4 linked regions of the Drosophila melanogaster genome follow. The protein of the gene in region 4 interacts with the protein of the main gene of each other region in a pairwise test. Each region holds a gene or a part of one and is shown on either strand. Other genes may lie near its edges.

The links.
Region 1: the proteins of E(spl)mbeta-HLH (region 4) and tap interact in binary tests that used the Drosophila melanogaster proteins (3 or more experiments, as listed by UniProt).
Region 2: the proteins of E(spl)mbeta-HLH (region 4) and ase interact in a two-hybrid assay, tested with the Drosophila melanogaster proteins (one study listed by BioGRID).
Region 3: the proteins of E(spl)mbeta-HLH (region 4) and ato interact in a two-hybrid assay, tested with the Drosophila melanogaster proteins (one study listed by BioGRID).

What each region holds. Positions count from the first base shown.
Region 1 is NT_037436.4:17,356,791-17,363,334, forward strand, and holds tap (target of poxn), read left to right. Parts: upstream 1-2,891; 5' UTR 2,892-3,002; coding exon 3,003-4,199; 3' UTR 4,200-5,021; downstream 5,022-6,544. Other genes in the region: CG7692 (uncharacterized protein), read left to right, coding at 1-675. UniProt on the Drosophila melanogaster protein: May play a role in the specification of the sugar-sensitive adult gustatory neuron and affect the response to sugar and salt. Regulated by POXN.
Region 2 is NC_004354.4:458,393-465,353, forward strand, and holds ase (asense), read left to right. Parts: upstream 1-2,354; 5' UTR 2,355-2,563; coding exon 2,564-4,024; 3' UTR 4,025-4,784; downstream 4,785-6,961. UniProt on the Drosophila melanogaster protein: Involved in the determination of the neuronal precursors of optic lobes in the central nervous system.
Region 3 is NT_033777.3:8,275,058-8,280,897, forward strand, and holds ato (atonal), read left to right. Parts: upstream 1-2,994; 5' UTR 2,995-3,068; coding exon 3,069-4,007; 3' UTR 4,008-4,217; downstream 4,218-5,840. UniProt on the Drosophila melanogaster protein: Developmental protein involved in neurogenesis. Required for the formation of chordotonal organs and photoreceptors. Seems to bind to E boxes. Specifically required for the photoreceptor R8 selection.
Region 4 is NT_033777.3:26,003,326-26,008,706, reverse strand, and holds E(spl)mbeta-HLH (enhancer of split mbeta, helix-loop-helix), read left to right. Parts: upstream 1-2,683; 5' UTR 2,684-2,813; coding exon 2,814-3,401; 3' UTR 3,402-3,661; downstream 3,662-5,381.

The sequences.
Region 1 (6,544 bases), on a different chromosome or scaffold from region 4:
AACAACGAATCCAATTCCAGATCTGCAAACGATATTAAGGAAATGGAGACAAATCGTCAAATCAACGAATGCCTGACGCGTTCTTCCCAGGTGTGCTTAACCAGATTGACACCACGAGACATAGAAAAACTCAGGGGAGTAAGAGTTCGTGTTAAGCGAACTAATATGGCAAATTTCTATAACGACCAGACACGTCGCAGCCAAAGAAGGCTCACAGCGAGTCTTAACGGTCAGAGCCGCTCCCACACCGAGGACAGCAATGGATCTTCAAACAGCTACAACTACCGCCAATATGATAGGCGCCGCTTCAAGAAGTTTGTGCACATCACATCGGACTCGCCAGCACCTTCGGAATCGTCCACGCCATCGCCGCGCATGATAGCCAAGCCGGTCTTCAAGCACATTACATCCGATTCCTCGACAGATCTCGAGGAAGTGACTCGGTCTGTTTCTGCGATTAGAAGACGTGGACGTGACCGTGGACGCAGTGGGCCCAAGTGTATAACAGAACCAAATGTGCGACGATCGCCTTCCTTTCAGCCGGATGTGATCGAGTTGTCCTCGGACTCTCTTTCGTCCAACTCACCAATTCCAGCCGCAAACCCCCCCATGAATAACTTTACACATGCAATGGATATGGATCCGCTTTACGAGGAGGCCATCATTCCATTCTAACACGCTGTTGACAAGTCGAGCCTGCTACCGAGCCAGAGGCGATGTTCTACGTGCCCGAAACGAATGCTGGCGAAGGGATGTTCGTTGGTTGCGCAGCAGAGGAAGGGAGCAAGGAAGATGAAGTGTATAGCTGGGAAAATCGAATTCGTCTCGGTTGTTAGAATGCAATTAGCCTGGGGCACACTTGGTATTTGCTTTGGCTACCAAAACGCCAGGATTTTGATGAAATTATTTACGTGTACATCTGTTTGACCAAGTTTCCGGCTCCGGCATTGTATTTCGGTTTTTATTTGGACTGTAACGCCGCCCGAGGGCCTTTAAAAAAGGACTCTCATCGAGTCCAGGACAACACTCAATGGAAAAAGCAAACGCATCCGCACTTCAATTAACTGCCTAATTGATGTGCATTGTGGCTCTAAAAAACCAAATTAGCTACACGCGGCGGAGAAGCTTTGTAACATGGATGACGACGACGGCGACACGTGGCTGCTGGTGTGAATTTAAGTGGCATATATGGGATAGATTTTCTTCTCATGTAAGAAACATTGTTAGTAGTACTTAGCTCTTATAAAGATATTGATACAAACTACCATTAATATTCTGTTTAAAACTTCAATATAAATATATTTATATATATTTATATATATAAATATATTTATATATATATAAATATATTTTATAAGTTACGAAAACACTCATTGTACTGATCATACAAGAAAACTGATTAAAAAATAAATAAATAAGTATACCATTAAGTATTTGTTTATTTATATAAAACTATCTTGGTTTTGAAATCTATAAGGAAATTAATCAAACATCAGCTCTACTTAGTACATTTTTCATAACATACTTAGCTACCTTATAAAGCACTATTAAAGAAAAAATTGATGGTGTCACAATTACTGAAGCAAGGTTTATATTTTTTCAACAAAAGCACTCAATTCATTTCCATTAGGAGGAACTGCCTGAAATGTGGCATATTACTAAATTAGCCCCCTCGACACTCAAGTTCTCACTCGTGCTGGTAATTTGCGGCAATTGCCGCATATCATAACAAATCCGCACGTGGCACCCGTCGCCCACTTGAAATTGCAACTCCGATCCTCCTTTAACAGGATTGCCACAGATAGGAATCCCACATCGGCACACTTTGCCACTTGAGCAGCCGTTAAGACCGCGGCACGTGGCAACGCCTGGGTTTTCTACCAGGAGGATGGAGTCCTGTGGGAGTGAGAGCTTTCCGTTGAATACACATGTTGCTTTTGGTAAGTGGAGGCGGCATCCTGGCCACGTGCCACTAACCCGTTTAGCGACAGGCGTAAGCCCTAAACGATTATTGCGGTTTAGTTGCGAAAGGCGAAAGAGTTGATGGTAATTGAATCTTTTGAATTGCAATCGCATTATTTCGATGTGGCGATAAAACAAAATAACAATTTATTTAGTCCACGAAGCACACATACTCTATATATGTAGGAAAGGGTAAGAAATCTTTTAGTACGGAAATGGATTAAATCTCGTCCGAAAATTATACCTACACCGAAAATATAACAAAGTCGTAATGATCCGAAGATATCATATTAAACAAAAGTATTCCCTATTTCAAATAATTTTTGGATTTATCCTTAAACTAAGTGATTTTTACAAAATATATAATAATATAATATTTCTTCTTTTAATTTAACTATAATATAAAGCATATCTTAAATTGACCAACAATACTACTCATTCATTAATATAAATATAATTAAGTTTAAGCTGTGCAGTAAGCACATTGTATTTAAATAACCCTAGAGGAAGGGTATGACTATAGAGACGAGCTTTGATGATGCCGTTGGCGACACCGCTGATCCTCGGACGCAGACATCCTTCCGATTGGCCTAGAGAGCACCGCTCGCAGCGAAGCGTGAAAAATGCTCGTATTTTGACTGGTAGCGGCGGCCCGCAGAACGAATCTCCATCTCCAGGAAGTTCACCCCGCTGCAGGCAGTTCTAGCTAGACGACGTTGGTGTGTGAGTTGGCAAAAGCCACCCCCGGGCGGCAATCACGGCGCATATCTGTTGGGATTTGTGTCGGGGTTCTGTGCTCTCTACTTTGCGCTATGGCGCCGCCACGACCGACGACAATGCGCCGAGGGTTGATGCCTGTTAGTCCGGACCCAAATCAGCGGGCTTAATGGCTGGCCGGGCACATAAAACCGGTGCGCACTCCTCGCCAGCTTTTAGTTGGTGCGGGCACGCGAGACGCGAAGAAACAACTCTCTCAAAGCGGAAATCGTAAATCGGAAATGTGCTAAAGGATATACACACCGTGATACAGATACGAGATCATGGCCGCCTGCTACAATGCCTATAGCGCTGGATCACAGTCCTTCGAGTTCGACGAGGACGACGACGACGCCTCCTTCGACAGTGGCTACGAGAAGAGTTTCGAGACGGAGGCCCAGTTGAGCTCACGACGCCGCTTGGACTTTGGCACTCCGCCGACTCCGGCGATCCCGCAACCGTACTCCGGCGGCACCTGGGACGCCGTACCGCTCAGCTCACCGCCGGCGGGCTTCGTGGGATTGCTCGATACGAGCAGCAATCACAGCACTCGGAGCGGCAGGACACTGGTCGAACATCTGAACAGTCGGGCCACGAATGGCGTCTTCGATCCGCCATTGACCAGTACGCCGGTGAAGTCGCCAGAGGATCCCAATGCGCCGCGACCGAAACGCAAATATGCCGTCGGCAAGAACAGAGTAACTCGCTCGCGCAGTCCAACCCAAGTGGTGAAGATCAAGCGTTTCCGCCGCATGAAGGCCAATGACCGGGAGCGGAATCGGATGCATAACTTGAATGATGCCCTGGAGAAACTACGCGTCACTCTGCCCTCGCTTCCCGAGGAGACGAAGCTGACGAAGATCGAGATTCTGCGATTTGCGCACAACTACATCTTTGCCCTGGAGCAGGTGCTGGAAAGCGGAGGTTCAATCAACCTGGATCTGGAGAAGCTGCAGAACTTCACGCTGAGTGGTGAGAGGATTACCAAGGAGCTCTTCGATGCTCTTTTCGTGAATCCACAGCCGTATCCCTTGTTCGGACGAATGTTCCCCTATGGACAGGGAATGGCGCCTCTTGCACAGCACCAGACTGCTCCAGCATCGCACGCGGAGCAGCCGCCGGCGATGGGTGGCTTTCAGCACGGCATGGACTATCCGCAGCAGCCACCAGGATTCGACTTTACAGGCAGCATGCGGTTTTACCACCAACAGCAACAGCAGCCGCATCAGCCTCACCATCTGCAGCCTAATCCCCAGCAGGAGTCCAGCCCGCAGCAGTTCTCGCAGGAGAAATACGATCTGTTCAGGGGATCCTTCGATGCAGCTGCCAATCTTCATTCTACGAACTTGGATTCTGGGATTCACCAGCAGAGCAGCTTCTACTCGCAAACACCGCCATGGAAGGACTATCCGGAGGATCAGGCACACGTGCATCCCGTTCCACATCAACACAGCTACAAAAACTTCGCCCCGCAGGTGTAGCACAGTTTTGTGGGCCAAACTACGATCTTAGGGTTTTCAGCGTGATATACTAAAAGATTGCCGGAAATTGCAGGAAACTGATCAAGGGGAATTCCTCTAAGCGATTTGCCCTTGACTTACTTTAAAAACATAACTAAAGTAACTTATGGGTCCTATCTCGGGATTTCCCTTCCTTACTTTTCTCAACTTTCCTGCAATCCGTTGATATTGGTAATAAGCGAGGCACCTAATTGACTGCTAAGATTATCATCAAGTTTGAAAATGAAATATCTTTAAAAATTGTATATTTCACACTTGCGCTAATCTTTGAACTCAATTAGTTTCATGTTATAGAGGGATCCTCAATAGATTAACCAATTTAAAGTCAAACATCCAAAGTTAAGCTTCACGAACTCATTATTAATTCATATGAATTCCCATTATATTTGTATTCATTGGCTTCCTTCTTGCGGATCTCTGGTGAATATTTGAATTAAAAGTGCTTAGGGTAATCAATTTTCCAAAAAGCACTCTTCTTCTCAACATATTCGCATTCTTCTTGACTATATAGTACAAATCGGTTGTCCATTTAGTGTAAGCGATACGTACCTTGCCATTCTAGATTTAAGACCTATCTATAAGGATTCTTAAAATGAACCAGGTATTAGCCATAATTAACTGTACAATCGATTAAGTGTATGTAGGTTATGCCAGATTCTATATCAGTTATTGCAATGCAAGGAAAGCGAGCTAGTCAGGGCCAGAACTTTAAGGTGATAAGATTGAATTTCGATGTAAAACCATAAAGATTTATTTTTGCAAATAAAGTTGACGATCAAAACGAGCCAGAAAATGGTTTTGCGAGTGGGAAGAATGGACGAACTCCTGGACAAAGTCAAAAATAGTAGCCAAAGCAAACAACCCTGGAATCAGTGTACCGCTGTGTGCGGATTTCAGGTCCCAAACAAAGGACTTAAATTCAAATAAATATTGTATATTGCAGGGCACATAAAACGAATGGCTTTGTGTGTGTGCACTGCAGCTTGTTCTTATCGTAGGGGGCACTTTTCGCCCTTACAATTCGACATGGGGTGAGTTCAAGTAGAAACCGAACTCGAACTCCCGGCTCGGCCTTCATAGCTCGAACAATGGAAGATTGCCGTCACCTGCCACACAATTACAAAACGAATGTACCAACAGCAGCAGTCAGGACCAAACAGGGAATCCTGAAACATGAGCTGTGAGCCAGTGGACCTGCATGAATGCCACTCAAATTATTTAGTTGAATGAACCGAACCGGCAAGAGTCGAGGGAAATGCTTTACTGCTTTACTGCCTAACTGGGTAACAACTGACTGACTGACGTTTTCCGTTACGAGAAAAGGGTAAAAAGGTGGTAAAGATGCTGGAAAGCCGGTGAGGAATTCGCAATCTCAACTGAAGATTACAATAAGACAGTCTTATCCGTTAATAGAGCTGTCATACTGCAAAGCCTTACATTCAAAGGTTTTAAAGTTTTAAAAAAAGGCGTAGGTTTGCCTAATGCAACGTAAATTGAATATTGGGAAAGCAGGATATCTTTATCAGCAACTTGTATGATTTAATTTCAAATATCAACTACTAACCACCACTTTTAACAAAAAGATTTAAAATTACATATTATTCGTATGCATACTCCATTAGAATTTATATTCATCATTCAAATATCTTAGAAATAATTTTAGGTCTAGCCATCCTGAGCATTCAACTATGTTTAAGTTAACTAGATATATTTGCTGTCGGTAAAAGATTCGCTCATGGTTAGTTATTGGGGTTATAAGCGGGAATTCGTCAGTTTTTCCACAACTAAGCCGGCGTTTGTCATTTGAGCAGCTTTGTTGGAGGTGTCGGGATTTATCTTTGCAATAATCATTATTATAGACCGGCATGGGTCCTGGGTTCTTTGGTCCTGTTGTGCTGCAAAGGCGCAAATACGCAGCGGGTGAGCCAGCTAAGCTGCATTCAATTTCTGGGACCCACTCGCCTCTCCTCGAGGGTTGAGGATGAGGATGAAACCTGGCCCGGATGGGACTCGCATCATTAGCGGACGGGGTGGCTGCGTTTCGATGGCTATCGGCGGATCAATGACGACATCTATGCCCTGACTCCCTTGCCCGAATGCTAATGCACTGCGAGGCTGGAAAAACAATTTGGCGATGGCCATAAGGCGATAAGGCAACCAAAATGGAAACAAATTGCCATGGACATGCTAAAAGGCGCAAACACAATGGATTGGCATCTTCGGCTGCGGCAAGTGCAGGTCCTTGGAGAGCGATTCATATGCGGTCCGATGAGATTGCACAAAGGACTTCGGCTGGGTCGACTAAT
Region 2 (6,961 bases), on a different chromosome or scaffold from region 4:
GATTCGGGAGTAACTCTTTTCCTTAATTTTTTGGCTAATTTTATTTAGTTTATAGTTAGAAAGAGTTACATATCTGTACACCGGTCACTTGTAACTCGTTCACGATCCGATGGGGGGAATATGTAATAATTAGAAGGCATCGTCACAAACATTTCCTTAAACAATGTCCCAAAAATGGTGTTCACCCGTAGAGCGAGTCCTTTTGTGTAGTTCTCGGCTGGGGTCCTTTCACTTTTCCCCCAGTGCTTGACTCCAAAGTTATTTCAAGGACTTCCACGGAAAGACTTCCGTTCCATCAAGTTTTCAACACTCATAACTCGAAAGACGAAATAATAATATGAAAAAACAAGAAGCGGTAAAACAATTTATGAACGAACAACTGTGCACAGATGCTAAATGATGAAGCATCCTAAAGGATCCACTTGAGTCAACGACGAGTACACACAGAATATGGGCCCAGGACATATTCACCCGGCGCCTTTCTCCGGTTACAAAATGGAAAAAGAAGAGGGAACTTAAATTTTGGAAAATCAAAGCGACTTGCATGCGTTGGCAGATTGATTTACGATTTTGGAGGGTCAAGCCAAATAGAACGACTTCAGGTTTCAGTAAATCATGGAGGATCCAGTATGTTTCCACGCTAGCGTCAATTCCGTTTACTCATCTGTTTCATTACCATTTGGCGTTTCTCTCGTCGAAAGATATTTTCCCATTGAAATCAATGCGTTTTTAAAATGCAAATAAACCAGAAACCAGAAACCATTCATAAATTGTATTTGCCTAGATTGGAACATTTCGATCCGCCAAAGATAACAGCCAAAAAAATATATAAAAAAAAGAGTGACAGGACTACAACGCAGGTTCTTAATTTTACGAACGTGGGAGTAAATTCGAAAAGGTATGCCGCGTCTTGGGGCAAAACTTTTTTGAAACCGTTTACATGTAATATTTTTGGAATCGCTACTTTTATGTATGGTTAATTTAATTATGAACTATTTTCTTGCAGTGCACGAAAGGCGTGGCTGGGGCAAGGAACAGTTCCTTGAGATGAGTGCTGCGATGCGTCGTCAAAGTGGGACGCAACCGAGTCAAATCCTCTAGGACAACAAAGGACGCCGAGCAGTACTTCCCAGTACTCAAATACTCCTCAGTACGCACAAGCGTTGACTCCTTTTTCTTTGAGAGCTCGTCTGCATAATGAGGAATGAGGACGTGGCATCCTGGATCAAAAACCGGTAGTCGGTCGTCGCAAGTTTCTTCTCCCCGCCGGTTATCCTGCGCTCAAGTCCTTTTCCTTGAACCTTTTAAGTGAACTCAAGTTTATAAATTGTGCAGCAAGTACAACACACACACATATGTATACTCCTCTATTTACTCAGGTTTGTTGGAAACTACCTGAGAGGAAGGATCAAAAAAGTTTATTGTAGCACTCGAAAACTTGTTTGCACAGATAGACCTAAGCTCCAAAAAAAAGAATAGATTATAGAAATAAAGCACTGGTAAAATTATTTTCCCACCGGACTAATTGCCAGAAATTTTTTGCCAGACGTAGAAAAAACAAGAATGTAGAGAAGGATGGGTGATTTCTCACCCCTTAAAGGATTTAAATTGGCTCTCTGGCATCTTGTCAATTTCCAACATAAATTGTAGCCCTGTGAATTACCTAAGACATTACTTTCGCAGTATATACTTGCTGTTTATTAGCTTAACAATAGGAAAATGTTTTTGCCAATGCAAGTCCTGGTAAATATATGTATATATTATCCAGTACGAGTTTTTGAAAAGTTAACAATAGGTGATCCCGAGACATTTTTCGAATGAAGTAGAAACCAGTCCTTGGTTTTAGCTATAAGCTAAAAATAAAGATTCGATGCATTTCTGCGTTTTACATGACGAATATTGGAGGTCTAAGGTGATCTATTAGGATATTTTGCAAATTCCTAGGTGGTAGGGCATTCCTTGAAAACCAGGGCTGAAAAAGCTCCCCAGGGAATATACTTTTTATTATATGCATACGTATATGGTTATTATAATGTCCATATATTAATAGGGGCGGTATATAAGCATAATGTGTTTGCTGCCGATAAATAATGAGAGAGAGCGTGGCGAAATCCACCCTTGAACCAGGTGGACTTTTTGGCTCGAGTTGATCAGATGTTAGTTTTCCCAAAAGCCGTACTGTATATAATATATATATATGATAAAGGTGTATGTGTGAGCGATCGAGAAGGGACACCCAGTCTAGGGGATGAAAAGTCAGGCCCTTTACATAAGGGATACGCAGGACCTCAAATGCCTTCTGTTTTGTATGTGTGTGCTCTGTGTTGTGTATGTCAGTCAACGAAGTCACTTCCGTTGGGTTTGCGTTTTAGTTTGAGTTCGGAGTTTAGGGGCACGCGACACAGAGCGCCAGCAGCTGTCCTGATGCAAGGACACGGAAACCATATTACATCAGTCACCAGTTAACATTCACTCAAGAAGGACTAACTTGCTAAAAGTACACCCGCAATCGCCACCAGTTTTTCTCCCGCCCTCAAAAAGCCACGAATCAAAAAACTTAATTATGGCCGCCTTAAGCTTCAGCCCATCACCTCCTCCAAAAGAAAACCCCAAGGAAAACCCCAATCCAGGAATAAAAACCACGTTGAAACCTTTTGGAAAGATTACCGTTCACAATGTTTTAAGTGAGAGTGGCGCCAACGCCTTGCAACAGCATATAGCCAATCAGAACACCATTATTCGAAAGATCCGGGACTTTGGCATGCTGGGCGCTGTTCAAAGTGCCGCAGCCAGCACAACTAACACCACACCCATATCCAGTCAACGGAAGAGGCCCCTGGGAGAATCCCAAAAGCAGAACCGGCACAACCAGCAGAATCAACAGCTTAGTAAAACATCAGTGCCTGCTAAAAAATGCAAGACCAACAAGAAGTTGGCGGTTGAAAGGCCCCCAAAAGCAGGAACTATAAGCCACCCTCATAAAAGCCAAAGCGATCAGAGTTTTGGGACTCCTGGAAGAAAGGGTTTGCCTTTGCCACAAGCCGTTGCCCGTAGAAACGCTAGGGAAAGAAATCGCGTGAAGCAGGTTAACAATGGATTTGCTTTACTCCGGGAGAAGATCCCAGAAGAAGTATCTGAGGCTTTTGAGGCCCAGGGGGCGGGTAGAGGAGCAAGCAAGAAGCTATCCAAAGTGGAGACCCTCCGCATGGCCGTAGAGTACATAAGAAGTTTGGAAAAACTGCTGGGATTTGATTTTCCACCTCTCAACAGTCAGGGGAATAGTTCTGGTTCCGGCGATGATAGCTTTATGTTTATTAAGGACGAATTCGATTGTCTGGATGAACATTTCGACGACTCGCTGAGCAACTACGAAATGGATGAGCAACAGACTGTCCAACAAACTTTATCCGAGGATATGCTAAACCCTCCGCAAGCCAGTGATCTCCTGCCTAGTTTGACTACATTAAATGGGTTGCAATACATCAGAATACCAGGAACCAACACCTACCAACTGCTGACGACTGACTTATTGGGCGATTTGAGTCACGAGCAAAAACTTGAAGAAACAGCTGCTTCGGGCCAGTTATCGCGATCGCCCGTGCCACAAAAGGTGGTAAGAAGTCCCTGCTCTTCTCCAGTTTCACCTGTCGCCTCGACTGAATTGCTGTTACAGACACAGACGTGTGCCACACCGCTGCAACAGCAAGTAATCAAACAGGAATACGTCAGTACCAACATTAGCAGCAGCAGCAACGCACAGACTTCCCCGCAGCAGCAGCAGCAAGTTCAGAACCTGGGATCGTCGCCTATTTTACCCGCGTTCTACGACCAGGAGCCCGTGAGCTTCTACGACAACGTAGTCCTTCCCGGATTCAAGAAGGAATTCAGCGATATTTTGCAGCAAGATCAGCCCAACAATACAACCGCTGGCTGCCTTTCGGACGAGAGCATGATCGATGCCATTGACTGGTGGGAGGCACATGCACCTAAATCTAATGGTGCATGCACCAATCTGTCCGTTTAGCCGAATTTTTTCACATCACGCATCTCGGAAAAGCCGATTGCATTTTTTGGCATACTTTTTAAATGATTTTAAATCCTCACAGCATAAGTCTGTGGCAGGCCATTCTATCTAAAGTTTTTTTTAATCAAGCCATGACTGAGTCATTGTGTAAATATCAATTTAAGCCGAGAAAGGAGGATAACTTCGGCCAGCCGAAGCTTATATACCTTTGCTGTTAAAACCATGTATTTAATATGAAAGTTCGCACAATTTCGATGAAGTTTATCACAAATTTACGATTTCATCAAGATTTGTATATTCTCCAAATTCTATAAAATATATGTACATTTTTGATTCTTGCTATGGTACTTGTACGTATGATATTGTTGATCGATCCTGCCCGAGTCACCTTTTATATCACCAGACATGCCGATCATGAATATTTATTGATGTGGGGTCGGAAATGCCTCACTGCTACCTTCAGACATATTATAATATCCTCTGAAAGAGTGTGACAAAATGAATGTATGAACACTACATATTTAAAGTCATCTAGTGATATAAACCAAATGGAAATAACCTTGTAAGACCCAACCACAAAATAGTTATCCTGATAAACGGCTTAATGTTGAGCCGGACTAACAGAGTGTCTAGTATATAACAAAAATTAATGTATTTGTGTAACCATATTTTTTTTTTATAGATTTAATTGTAGGAACGTTAAAATGACAAGCAGATAATATATGCTTTTGAATAAATGCAAATAAATATGAACATTTCCAAAAACTTAATTTGTTTCTTGTGGTTTTATTTCTCAACGAAAATTAGGTATATTAAATGACAATTTATAATTTGTACCACATTTTAGAAAAAAAGGTGTTTTATATTTTAGAGAGTGTCTTATGGCACAGTATATCTCCGGTGCTTTATTGACTCGATATTCAAAATGGGGTTCCTTCTGTGACAGAATGACAGAATTCGGATTTTTTTCTAGCGGTTCTTTTTTAAACATGTGCCTTGATTCATAATGACACAAGTAATTAAAAACGCACCAAAATAAATATTAGGGAAATTGAGAGAAAGCGGTTTTAGGGTGAACTATTATTTAGGACCTAACCGGCAACCGCAAATCAAACGAATTGCTTTTAAAAATAGAGTCTAGTCTGTCTGTCCTCATAGAAGTCAAGAAGTGAAAAGCCAAAACAGCTTGAAATTCCAATAGCGGCTACAAACTTGAAGTTGTTTTAAAACCTTGTCATGCTCACCACACAGACCCTCATTAACATTTGGAAAATATTTTCAATGATATTTAAGGGAATGGTAATATATTTTTTTATACAAAGTTGCCAAGCCTTCACGCACGTCTTTTATTTTGCACGATATTTACTCACCCTCACTTTTACTTGGCGCTATACTCTCCTGCCAATTGTGCTCAGGACTTCATTGTCCTGTGCTTACGTGTTCTCATGTCTCTCTACCCGTCCCTTTTTTTGGGACATCTGCCCAAATAAAACAAAACGGAAGAAAAACCAAAAAAAAAAAAAAATAAGAAAGGGCCGGTCCAATGGATATGGATGATGCAAAACTACATAAGACAGGCATACTGTAAGGAAAATCAATTGAAATCGTTTTCCATTAAGAATAGATGGCCTGTGCCAAATGATATTCGCATCTGCAGGATCCGAAAACCAAAGAAATCTAAGTAGTACACTGAGGAAACAACACGATCTATTTTGAGGTCGAAATTACAAGGCGAGGCATTTTTTCCTCCATTACTATTTTTTTTTTTTCGCTGTGTATATGTATGTGTTGGCGCGCTCCTGAGCGCCTGAGATCGCCTGCAACCCCCTTTTTCAACAGTTTTCAGTTTTTCCATCCAGGTGCAAAGGTGTTTTCCTATCATTCTTTTTTTGGTCGTGTGGTGGGTGCGCCGTTCACCGTTAGCAGTGAAAATTGTTCACGCACCGTTATAATTATTAAATATTGGTAATGCGACACGCCCCTCAACCGTACACCTCCGAGTTTGGGTCGAATTTCGCATTTTTACTGTTTGAACTGGGAAATCATTGCCGTTATGTGCGTCTTTTTGTTGTTTGTGTTTTTGGTGAATGTTAAAGGCTTAGCACCGATAAGGAATATGAGCCCTATCGTATCCTTCGATCGGCAGATTTGCTTTCGTAGCTCTGGGTGCTGCAGTCGCTTTAAGTTGTGCCCCCATTATGCCATTTAGACCACGCCTCTATGAATGCATTATTACTGAATGCCGTCTGTTTTTAAGTTCACTTTAGCGTGTGCGCATGCTCTTGCCGCTGACTTGATTGGATTCACCCCTACTTCTCTGATCCACTGACTATCCAATTTCTGGGCACATTGCACTGCAGTTATCCCGGGAACCAGATGCTGCCTTTGACCCGCCGAATCCGAGTTGGCTCGATGGATCTCGTAATTGAGATAGGTGACACGAAAAAAAAAATAATTTCTTCGAATTTTAAATCTTTAATAATTTTTGGAAAACCATGTCATCTAGCAATCATTACCTTCGCTTATTGTATATTCAAAGAAAACGGTAATGGTTTTGAGGTCTGATCCGCTGATCCCCAGTAACCAGTTGGCAAGGTTATATTTTCATTCAAGGATTTCATCCTTCCGTTTCATTCAGCATTGGACCAAAGAGAGACTTCTCTGGCAAATAGTATTCGTAATACTGTGTCTTCCGAAACTAACTGCCGGTCAAGCCGAGCTACTTAGACTTAAGCAGATACTTATACTCGACGGCTTTCAGTTTTTCTAAGTCCTTAAGTGGACGTACTTCAACCCACAATGAAGCACTTAAGTGTGCGCTCCGCGCTCAAAAACCCTAAGCGGGTCAAGAAACCAAGTCAAAAAAATAACTCTGGACAACCGTTAAAACCCAAAGCGGGTTAACACTTTCTAGTACCTCCTGCGGTTCGCCTAAGC
Region 3 (5,840 bases), about 18 Mb from region 4:
CTCGAATTGCCGCATCAAAGTCGGCGACAAAAATCGCTCTGACATGGTCCGATCCAATCTGGGCAGATACGCTCATAAGGAGCACGGAGCTGATGTGCCATCCCTCAGCCGGATGATAACCATCAGTAGGCAATCTATGACAAAGCGCCGGCACAACAGGAGGTGAGGGCGTGCCCAAACAATGACACAGTGGGCGCTGCAAGGACTCGACTCCGACTACTCTGTGGACGTGTGTATAATCTAGTTTTAATTTTCATGGGAATTAACCCATGGCCGTCACAATTTTCCGGCCACTTCGTACAATGTGCAATTTATGCGATATTTGTTTAAGCAATTTTGATCAGCTCCCAGCGATGATAGCCAGTTCCAACTGAATCCCGTCCAATGTTTGACTCCACTTGACTTTTTATCCCCGTCGAGGAGCATATGTACATATGATATTTTCCATTTTTCCACCGCCCCAATCGGTGGTCAATATTTGCAGAGCCAAGTCAAACAACGGTCTCACATAACAAGGGGAGCTCTTTCCTCCTCCTCGACTTGGTCCTTCTGCATTTGCATATTTAATTTGCCTTTAATGAATTTTCAATTTGACAATTGCCGAAATGCCACACAAGAGGCCAGGATTCGATTTGGGGCCAGGCCACCCACGTGCACGGAACTGGGGGAATGGGAACTACCCCAGTTGCGGAGATGGCATGCCATGCCGATTGCATGTCCATGTCCATGTCCGTGTCCAGACTCCTGCTCCTTTCGCTTTTCGCTCTCGTCTGCAAAATGGGACAGAGTGTTAAATGCTAATAAAATAAGTAACATACAAATTTTTCAATTTCAGCTAAAAAAAATAACTGGGCCGAAGACGTTTAAGTCGAGCAGGAGCTGGTGGACTGGGATTCGGTCTGGATATATATAAATATGGATCTGGACAACACTTTCACGGCCCAGAGCGACTTGCTAATGGGAGTCGTTGACGTGAGCCTACTTTCCTCTTGTTGGCATCTCTTGCGCCTACACGTTCCTCATGCCGAAGAGAGTCCTGGAAAGAGTATACTGAATTAGGCCGGCTAGTCAGCAATTTGGTTACTTAACAAAATGTAGAAAATAACTAAATTAATTTAGTTACTGCGTCAATAGTTTAATGGCCTAAGTAACTAATACATGATTTGAGAGTTTAGTAAAAAACCCAATATACAATTATAACATTCACCATATTATATTACACTCAAGAATATACAGGTTGGTTTTTCTAGGATAATATAAGAATATGATTTGGATATGACTACAAGAGTGTTTCATGTTTCACCCAAGCAGATTCATACCCATTCAATTGGCTTTGTCATGCGCTTTCTGGAAGCTGCTCCACATCAGTTGCATTCCCATCGATGGCCAAGTTGCATTTATGCATATTGACATGAAAGAAGTGGCCCGTTACCAGCGTATTGATGCCAATGAGCTGGAGCTGAGGTATTGGAGGTACTGGTACTCATAAGGTATGTGGGTCCGATGTGAGGGATCAGCCACTCGATAACTGACAGGCACGCAAGGCGCCCGATGCCGACCATTGGCGAAAAAAGAACTCGACTTGACTTGGAATGACCCTTTTTGCCCCCTCGACTGGCAGCACGTGCATATTGCGATGCGGCAATGAAAATGTAAATTTCCCAATCGATATGCAGCGGATGCCTTGACATCGGCTAATGCCGATAAGCGAAAAACTTTACAGCGGAGATGCAATCCGAGGGATACGATCTGCACAGGTACATATTGCAGGTGTAACTACTGTCTGTTGCGGCAAGTGGCTCGTAAATTGCATGGAAGGACATTCACGAGGGACGTTCAGGACATTCGAGGTCTCTCAGGGGTGGACAAAAGGTCAAACATGCCTGTGTGCGTCCAATAAATTGGTGGTGCCGCTCTTGGTGCGGTTTGTTGTGTGACATTTTTATCTAATTGACAGCGTTTTTATTGCCCGGCAAAAAGATCAGATCCTTTGGGGCGTGCTACTAGTTGTGCGACTGGGTGGCCGCGGAACTTCAAAGATGCCCGAACACTCCCCCGCAAGTGGTTGATGTAGAATTCGTTGCATTATGATTTCCAGCGAATCATTAAGGATTAAGGGGCGTAGCGAAGGGATCTAAGGACCACCGTGGACGCTTCGTTTTGCTGTGTCATCCTGGGATCTACAACTAAATTCCCTGCTCACGATCGAACACACGGCCGTATTAATTGCAAGGCGCTAAAATGTTAACCCAGCTCTTAGTTACTGCCTGCCACGCTTATTAGGCACGACGAGGGCTAAGGTGAAGGTCAGTCCTGGCACTCGGTCAAGCGTGTCCTTGAAGGGCCGGCGCTATCATCTACCTTCTTCATGGTACCGGCAACAAGCGTATCAATTGGAAAATTTGCCAAGTTGTAATAAACAAGATTTTTCATTGCGATATTCCGCCCCCGACTTTGGGTAAGCATGTCGAATGACCCGGCGGCGGTGGATTTGTAAGGATTTCCCTAGCCGTGATCAGGTAGATCGAACCCACTTGCAACCGATGCAGATTAGATAAACTCATAAGACCCGCTCTGCCATTTGGTGCTGACAAATCGCCAAGGGATTTTTGCAAATTTCGCTTCGCTTTGCGGTCGACTTTAATCCCGTTTAGGGATTCAAATCGATTGTTTGTCCAAGTTCTGTTTACATTTCCGCCCATATTCCTGTTCCGGTTGTGCCGGCCATCCTATAATCATCTTGTTAGCGGCTTTAGATGCCCAGATAGTCGGTTTTCTAGCGCCATTTTAAGCTCGCAACGAACTGAGGTATAACCGGGCTCTCTGAGACCGCTGCAACTCACCACCAACTGCCATTGGTCGTGCCACTCGGGCGGCACGTGCTGCCTTCTGTGGCAACTCGTTTACCTGCCCCCCTACCTGCCTTTCAGGCCCTTCTGACCGTCGTGGTGGATTTGTGAGTATAAATAGGGCCGAAAGGACGAGAGACCAGTCAGAAACCCGCCAGCACTCGCAGCGTTCGTATCGTTTCATCCAGCAACATAACACCACCATACAGCAGCAGCAACATGTCGTCCAGTGAGATCTATCGCTACTACTACAAGACCTCCGAGGACTTGCAGGGCTTCAAGACAGCCGCCGCCGAGCCGTACTTCAATCCCATGGCAGCCTACAATCCCGGCGTGACCCACTACCAGTTCAATGGCAACACCCTGGCCAGCAGCAGCAACTACTTGTCGGCCAATGGCTTCATCAGCTTCGAGCAGGCCAGTTCCGATGGCTGGATCTCCTCCTCGCCGGCTAGCCACCGATCTGAGAGTCCCGAGTATGTGGATCTCAATACCATGTACAATGGAGGCTGCAACAACATGGCCCAGAACCAACAATACGGAATGATTATGGAGCAGTCTGTTGTTTCCACAGCGCCTGCAATTCCAGTGGCCTCTCCTCCGGCAGTGGAGGTCATGGGCTCCTCCAACGTGGGCACTTGCAAAACGATTCCAGCCTCAGCAGGTCCGAAACCGAAGCGTAGCTATACCAAGAAGAACCAGCCAAGCACCACCGCCACCTCCACACCGACTGCAGCTGCGGAGTCATCTGCCTCAGTGAATCTCTACACGGAGGAGTTCCAGAACTTTGACTTTGACAACTCCGCCTTGTTCGATGACAGCGTCGAGGATGACGAGGACCTCATGCTCTTCAGTGGCGGTGAGGACTTCGATGGCAATGATGGATCCTTTGACTTGGCCGATGGTGAGAACCAAGATGCCGCTGCCGGAGGCTCTGGAAAGAAGAGGCGTGGCAAGCAGATCACACCCGTCGTGAAGAGGAAGCGTCGCCTGGCCGCCAATGCACGTGAGCGTCGTCGGATGCAGAACCTCAACCAGGCCTTCGATCGTCTCCGCCAGTACCTTCCCTGTCTGGGAAACGATCGCCAGCTGTCCAAACACGAGACCCTCCAAATGGCCCAGACCTACATATCCGCTCTCGGGGATCTGCTGCGCTGAATTCCCGGATCCCGATCCCAGTCCCAAGTACTATTCTCAGTTATTGTTGGAGCTTGCCAAATGTTGTAGCTACTTTGTATATATTGCCTGGAGCCCAGTAGTGAATTACCGCTTAAGTATTATGCTGTTTATTGTTTAGTTAATTAGCCTAAATGGAAGACAATGATTAAGACTAAGGAAGACAAAATAAAAGCACCATTAATAATTTAAAACATATGTTCGTTTTTTGTTAACGGGGACTTTCTAACAGTTTTAGTAGCTATGCAACAATTCCTAGATGCAAAATGATAAATACAAAAATTCCAAGCCATCCAAATCCTTTCATCTCTGAACAATTCTGTTTCCCCAATCCTCGATATCCACACTTATCGGCGGGGCATCAATTCTCACACAGTGAATTGGACTTTATTATATGGGGGAAGGTGATCGATTTGGCGCTTCGCGATCAATTTGTAGACAGTTCGACAAAATTAGGGCCCCTCTTAATCGGGTTGGCCAAAACAAATACGCAGCGGACGATAATTACACGGCACGGCGCGCCGGACTGTAGCTGCCAAATTAAGTTAAGTGTTGGGCTGATCTGCTTTCAGCAGTCGCAGGTCGCATGCAATGTCCGTATGTCCGCTTGTCCGTATGTCCATTTGTCCGTCGCTGTCCCTGGAACCTCTGCAACTTCATATCCCAGTGGAAGTCCCAGTCGAGCCCCGAAAATCAAGCGCCACTCACAAATCGTTTAATACGAAGTTCGATCCCCGATCGTTGTTGGCGGATAAACTCAGCGGCTTAAGACTTTAAGCCGAAACTGTGCACTCAGCAAAACAAGAAGGTGTTGAAGAAGTTTTGTTCAATAAGTTAATGTAATAAATAATATTATTTAAGGTAATATAATAAAATGTATATAGTACAAGATAGGATCAAAGCAAACCTTTATAGTTAGTTCTACACAGAATTCATTCCCTTTAAAATATAATTAAATATATTATTTAGTGATATTAGATGGATGATATTTTTGGATCTGTTGAATAAATAAATCCTATGACGATTTCTGGCAGTGCAACATATCATTCAGCTTAAAACGGAGCAGAGATCCCCGGCCCAGTCAGTCAGTCATTCAGTCAGTCAGTCAATCATTCGTAAGATTCGAAGCCAATTTGTTGATAGCGACAGCAACGCCCGAGTGCCGGCGATTCGATCGACTCCCGCATGGGAATTGGAGCGCTCGGTGGCGGCTAGCGAGGGTGGGGGCGTGGCAGCGACCGGATTTCGTGGGCTGTTACTGTTTGTTTTGCAAAATCATTTTCGGGCGTCGCCGCAAAAGCTGCACGGATTTCGGGGCACATAATCAAAAGGAAATTCACATAATTAGTTAAGCGGCAGCGCGGCATCGACAGGGCTTCGTTAAATTGTTAATGACTTAATTTAGTGATCGCGAGGTGCGGGCGTCTCCCCAGGCGTCTTTTCCAGCGGCTGAGGCAATTATATTTGTATAGGCGCGAATGCGAGGCATAAAGGCGATATCCTGCCGATATCCCTGGAGTGTCGCTCTTGTTAGCGACAATTTACGGCTTTGAACGCTTCCGCACAAAGCGCTGCCGTCAATTTGTCAATTACACAAATTGTTCGGCTCCGTTCGGTTCCCCCATCTCAAAAGCCACGCACAACAAAAGGGTGCGATCCGTCGTGATGCGGGAAGAGAGGCCTTCCTGCCAATATCGGTCGTTATTCCCGAGCAGCTACTCCAGCTACCACCTGCATGCAGCTGCACAGCACAGCAGAGATTCGGAGCCTCGAATTCAGATCCAGCTTCCAAAATGCAACTGCCTGCCAATACAA
Region 4 (5,381 bases):
ACTGGCACGAGTTTGTTTCCCACGGTCTGGCGTTGCCTTGGTGTGCGTTGTATCTGTGAGCTGTGGTGTATCTGTGGGTTTGCGGGGGGCTTTCAAGTGGGGCTTAAGCGGGGGGCTTTTTGAGAGGGGGCAGCCCCACCGACGACTGCTGACTTGGCTGGCTGCTTTTCGCGGCGCAATAAAGTTGAAAGCGCACTGTTGGATATAAATTAATTCAACAACACGCTATGGCCATACACACTGCTTGGTGTTGTTGCTCTGGGTCTCTGGTCTCCATCTCCGAGTTTTGCACGCTCTCGTGCCCCGCCCCTTACCGCTCCACCCCCTCGGGCGATCGCTCAACTCCGCGGGGGCACTGAAATTCGCGCGTGCGTATGCCATCGACAAAAAAAAAATGAAGCACAAAATTTAAAAAAAAGCAAGCAAGAGAAATAATAAACCGAGAGAAATGAGGTCTTCGCGATATATGTTTTTTTGTATGTGTAGCTGTATCTTTGGATGATTGGGTGTATAAAGGCCAGTTGGTCTTAAGCGACTTGACCATATGCGCTACACCCCAACGAGCATTGCAGAATCTGATGAAATTTGTGAAATAACTACCTTATTATTCCATATTATATTTTCGGAATGGGCAGCAGATTAGGTTTCTGCATTTCAAGCTATAGGGGCACACTCGATGAATTCTATTGGGGGCACGTGCTCGTCCACTGGGTTTCCTCTAATTGCTACAATTGGTATTAATGATTCGAGTTACGACAGTGATTCAGTTGTTAAGCTAGAAAAGTCTTTCAGTGGCGTTTAAAGGCATTTATAGCTACTACATGAAAATTGGAACTTCCGAATTACAATTGGAGCCCCTATACTATTTAGCTTTTAATTTAAGCTAGTTGAATGAATGGATTATATAAATGGATTATATTGTTATTACAAAATATTTCTTAATTTAACGTGTTATCTACAATTGTAGCTAAATTGTTTTTAAAAATCTTTAAATTTTTGAAATATTTTTTCCATATTTTTTATAGTATTGTTTCTTTAATAATCCAATATGAATTACTTCTTAATTGGTTGTTGCAAATATCATGCGACTAACTCACCCCAAAAATGCAACCACCACCCTCTGACGAACAGTTTGACACACTGCCGACCCATAAAATCCAATTAAGCATTTCCGGAGCATTCAGCTTTTTGACATCAACAGTTTAAGTGTCCCGGTCCAGCGGACAAAACGTTTCGGTTAGATAAGTTGTTAGCCGTTTGTGTCTTGGCCCGTTTATCACCGTTGCTGCTTTGTTTCGGCTAACTGTAGCTCATTTCGAATGCGTCGAGGGGCAATCTTAATTTGTCTTATTTGAGTTTGAATTTATATACACATAGTGATCGAGTAGCTGCCGTCTCGGAGCTTTTGTTATTCCTTATTTGTGTGCCAATGAGCCGGGCTCGTGTCATTTTCAATGAACGCCAGCGAGCGTCATCGTCGCCGGCACTTCTAATTAAATGTTGAGAAACCCGAGCTTAGGATCCGAGATGTGTCAGATGCCGGCGGATGGAGATCTAGCATCTCAAGCTGATGAATCACGACGATATAGCGTTAAAAATAAATACCGAATGTGCTAAATGTGTATACATACATATACATATATCGCGTATAGCCCACGAGCCATAACATTTATAGCGTGTGCTGGCAACAGCCATTACGATTGTAACCGACTTTCGCGCACACGTCGACTTCGATCGGTTCCCAGCCCGAAGTCGCTATGGTAATTGTCTACAAATAGAAGCGAGCGACGACCCAAGATCCCCAAGCGAACCCAAAACCCCCAACCGAACTGCAGCTGATCCCCAAACGATCCCCAACCGACAATCAAGAATAATCATGTAAACGAAAAGCGTAATGCTCGTCCCACGAAACCCACGACTACCACGATCCAATCAATGATCCATAAAGCGCTAACAAAAAAGCAAGAAACAGAAACACTGGCCCGTCTCGGGTTGGCCCGATGACGATTCCACAATTATCAGCGTGCCATAAGCTACTGCAAAAGGGTGAAGGCACATGGCAAGACTTGAGACCGAACCGAACCGAACCCAACCGCACCGAATTGAAGCCCAAAAGACCGGACCCCGACCATAGTCGACCATACAAATGAATTGAAATGCAAACATCTTGTTATGGATGGAAGGCATGTGCTCGCCTCGCATCGTATCTGGGATCCCAAGTCGCACAGACCTCTTAAAGGCGGCCCGTCCATCCGTCCGTCCGCTCAAGAAAGACGGTGGACGGAAAGACGAGGGACGAGGGATCGTACAAGACCCCAAGCATGCACAATCAGAAGAAGTCAGGCCAGCCGTCGTCATCGTCGTCGTCGTGGAAATCGGCTGCGAAACAGTTTCCCACGGTATAACAATCACAGCACATACATAAGGAGGGAGGGAGAGAGAGCGAGAAGGCGCAGCCCGCTCAAGTCATTTTATTGCCCTCACATATACAGGCAAAAGTATACAAAAAAACAGAAGCCACCACCACCACTACCACAACCAAGCACCACCAAGCCATCTGAAACCACCGCTGGCAACAGCAGCAGGCCGCGCACGAGGCAAAATGAGTGTCCCGCTCGCACTCACTGTCCAGTTCCCAGGGCGGCAGAGGCTATATAAAGCCGATCCCAGAGCCAGCCGACTCATTCAAAGCTCCGACTTCGTTGCGTGCACACAGAGTCTCCGAGTCCGAATCTAGTGGAACGTTGCGACTGTGGATTACGCGAGTTTACTTTACCCCCAATAAAAAAAAAACAAAACCAAACTACAACAAAATGGTTCTGGAAATGGAGATGTCCAAGACCTATCAGTACCGCAAGGTGATGAAGCCCATGCTGGAGCGTAAGCGCCGTGCCAGGATTAACAAGTGCCTGGACGAGCTCAAGGACATCATGGTGGAGTGCCTGACCCAGGAGGGCGAGCACATCACCCGGCTGGAGAAGGCCGACATCCTGGAGCTGACCGTGGAGCACATGAAGAAGCTGCGTGCCCAGAAGCAGCTGCGTCTGTCCAGCGTCACCGGTGGAGTGTCTCCGAGTGCCGATCCCAAGCTTAGCATCGCTGAGAGTTTCCGTGCTGGCTACGTTCATGCTGCCAATGAAGTGTCCAAAACCTTGGCCGCTGTACCCGGAGTGAGTGTGGATCTCGGCACCCAGCTGATGAGTCACCTTGGCCATCGTCTCAACTACCTGCAAGTGGTGGTTCCCTCGCTGCCCATTGGAGTGCCTCTTCAAGCTCCAGTAGAGGATCAAGCTATGGTCACTCCACCTCCCTCGGAATGCGACAGCTTGGAGAGCGGAGCCTGCAGCCCGGCGCCCAGCGAGGCCAGCTCCACCTCTGGCCCCATGTGGCGTCCCTGGTGATCAACTGGACTCCGGATGATATTCACCTGAATCGCCTTCAAGCGGAAGGCTTCTACAAATTTGTTGCCCCAAAGAGGTGCTGGACTTGAAACCGCACCGAACTCCTTGGAGATCATCAATTGCTGCCCAGGAATAGCTTTCCCAGCAGCCCAGCAGAGCCACCGATCATCTCTAGCAGAGCCTCAAATTTCGGCTATAGAGATGGCTGCTGCTCACTTCTTAAAGTCATAAAGAAATGAAAATAAATGAAATTCCAACTCAAGAATCTCTGCATTTACTTATTTCCCATAGAGCTGATTACTCAGACTTCCCAGACATTTAGTGGGCGTCCAACCGCAAACTAAAGCAACTAAAAAAAAGAAACCCCTTAAAACAAGAAACGAATTGGAGATAAACTCCGTGGTGAACCGAATCGCAGAGCCCACAGCCGGAAGTCGCTGAATATTTTCCCACACTCGGACTATCGTCTGGTCTCTCCGGCTTGGCCTCATTATGCCCCGAGAATTCGGATTGCGAGGGTATGCGGGGCTTTCAGGGGGCATACAACATACATACGTATATCTGCGGGAAGTTTTGCGCCGGCGCTGTCGCAATTAAATAATAAAATAAAGCAAAAAGTCAGTTCTAGGAAACGGCATTTATTATGAGGCCCGCCGAGTGTGAGAACCGCGGCTCCGCTGTCAATGGCTCAGCATTGTGGTCATTGTGTTTCGCTTTTTTTTTAAGATTTTGCTCTTTTTTAGTTTTTTTTTGTTCAGGCTTTGACAGCTTTAACTGCGCTTGACCGCTTGGCACATGCGCGGACGGACCGGCGGTCAGACATTGCAAATTAAGCCCGCGACCGCGACCGTCTCGGCACTTAAGTCTTAAAACTCCAATACTGTATGGGTATGGATAGGGGCTGGGATTGGGGTAGGGGTATGGGGTATGTGTATCGGAGTGCGGTTCGATTACGGAACCTCGGATTCAGCGCCTTTGTCTGGCGGACAACTATGATGATGACTACTTACCAGGTCGTCTCGAGTCTGGGACCGTTCAAGCCGTCGCTGATTGCTGTTAATCTTCAGAAAATGTTATTAGTCACGTAACATTGGCATCGAGACGGCCAAGTTAGCGCTTCTCCGCTTATTTTGTGCTTTTTTTTGTTGTGGACTACAAAACGGCTATTTATAGGGCTCAACGGTAGTCTGCTGAAAATGGGTGATCTATTTTGCGATGGACCAGTTGAAAGGCGATCAGTTCACTCCAAGATTGACTAAGTGCCGCAATGTTGGCCATTGCCGGGGGCTAATTGGATGGCTTCGTTGGCGAAACTGATCTAGAGGGGTTCCCATTCAGCTTGTCGGCTTTGGTTTTCATTTATTGCCGAAACGTGCGTCATTCATAAGAGGTTATTAAATGTGATGTTTGCTGACTTCAGAGTGGGTATCATTTCCATATCTATCTAATACCTGATTAACTCAGGAACAAAAGCCAATGATGACTCAAAATTGGTTTGCTCATAACTAGAATATTTCGTAAATTCTACACTGTAGCTTGCAAATAGCTATTATTAAACAGCATATAACGATTGCAATAATTTTTGAAGATTTCACCAAAGGTTGCAATTATTGAATGATCCCATTCCATGTTTTCGACCTCACCCAACCCACTTCGTATCTTGTGACAGGAGGTACAGTAGAGCCCACACGTCATCCATCACGTGACCTCTGTGTGTCGGTGGACCCCCAATCGCAGGCACCGCGGGTCCGGCCACCTACTTCAGTCATAATACTCCGCACGCCGCTAAGGTTTAATGCAGCCATATTAAAGTAAGCGCAAGACCACCACTTAATAAAAGAGAGGCGGCGGCAAACCGGCCTGGCAATGGGCTGTGCATGGAGGCTGGAGGATGGGACTGGGATGGAGTCGGCACTCGTGCCTCGATCTTCATCCACTCCCATTCCCATTCCCATTCCCATACCCATATCCAAACCCATT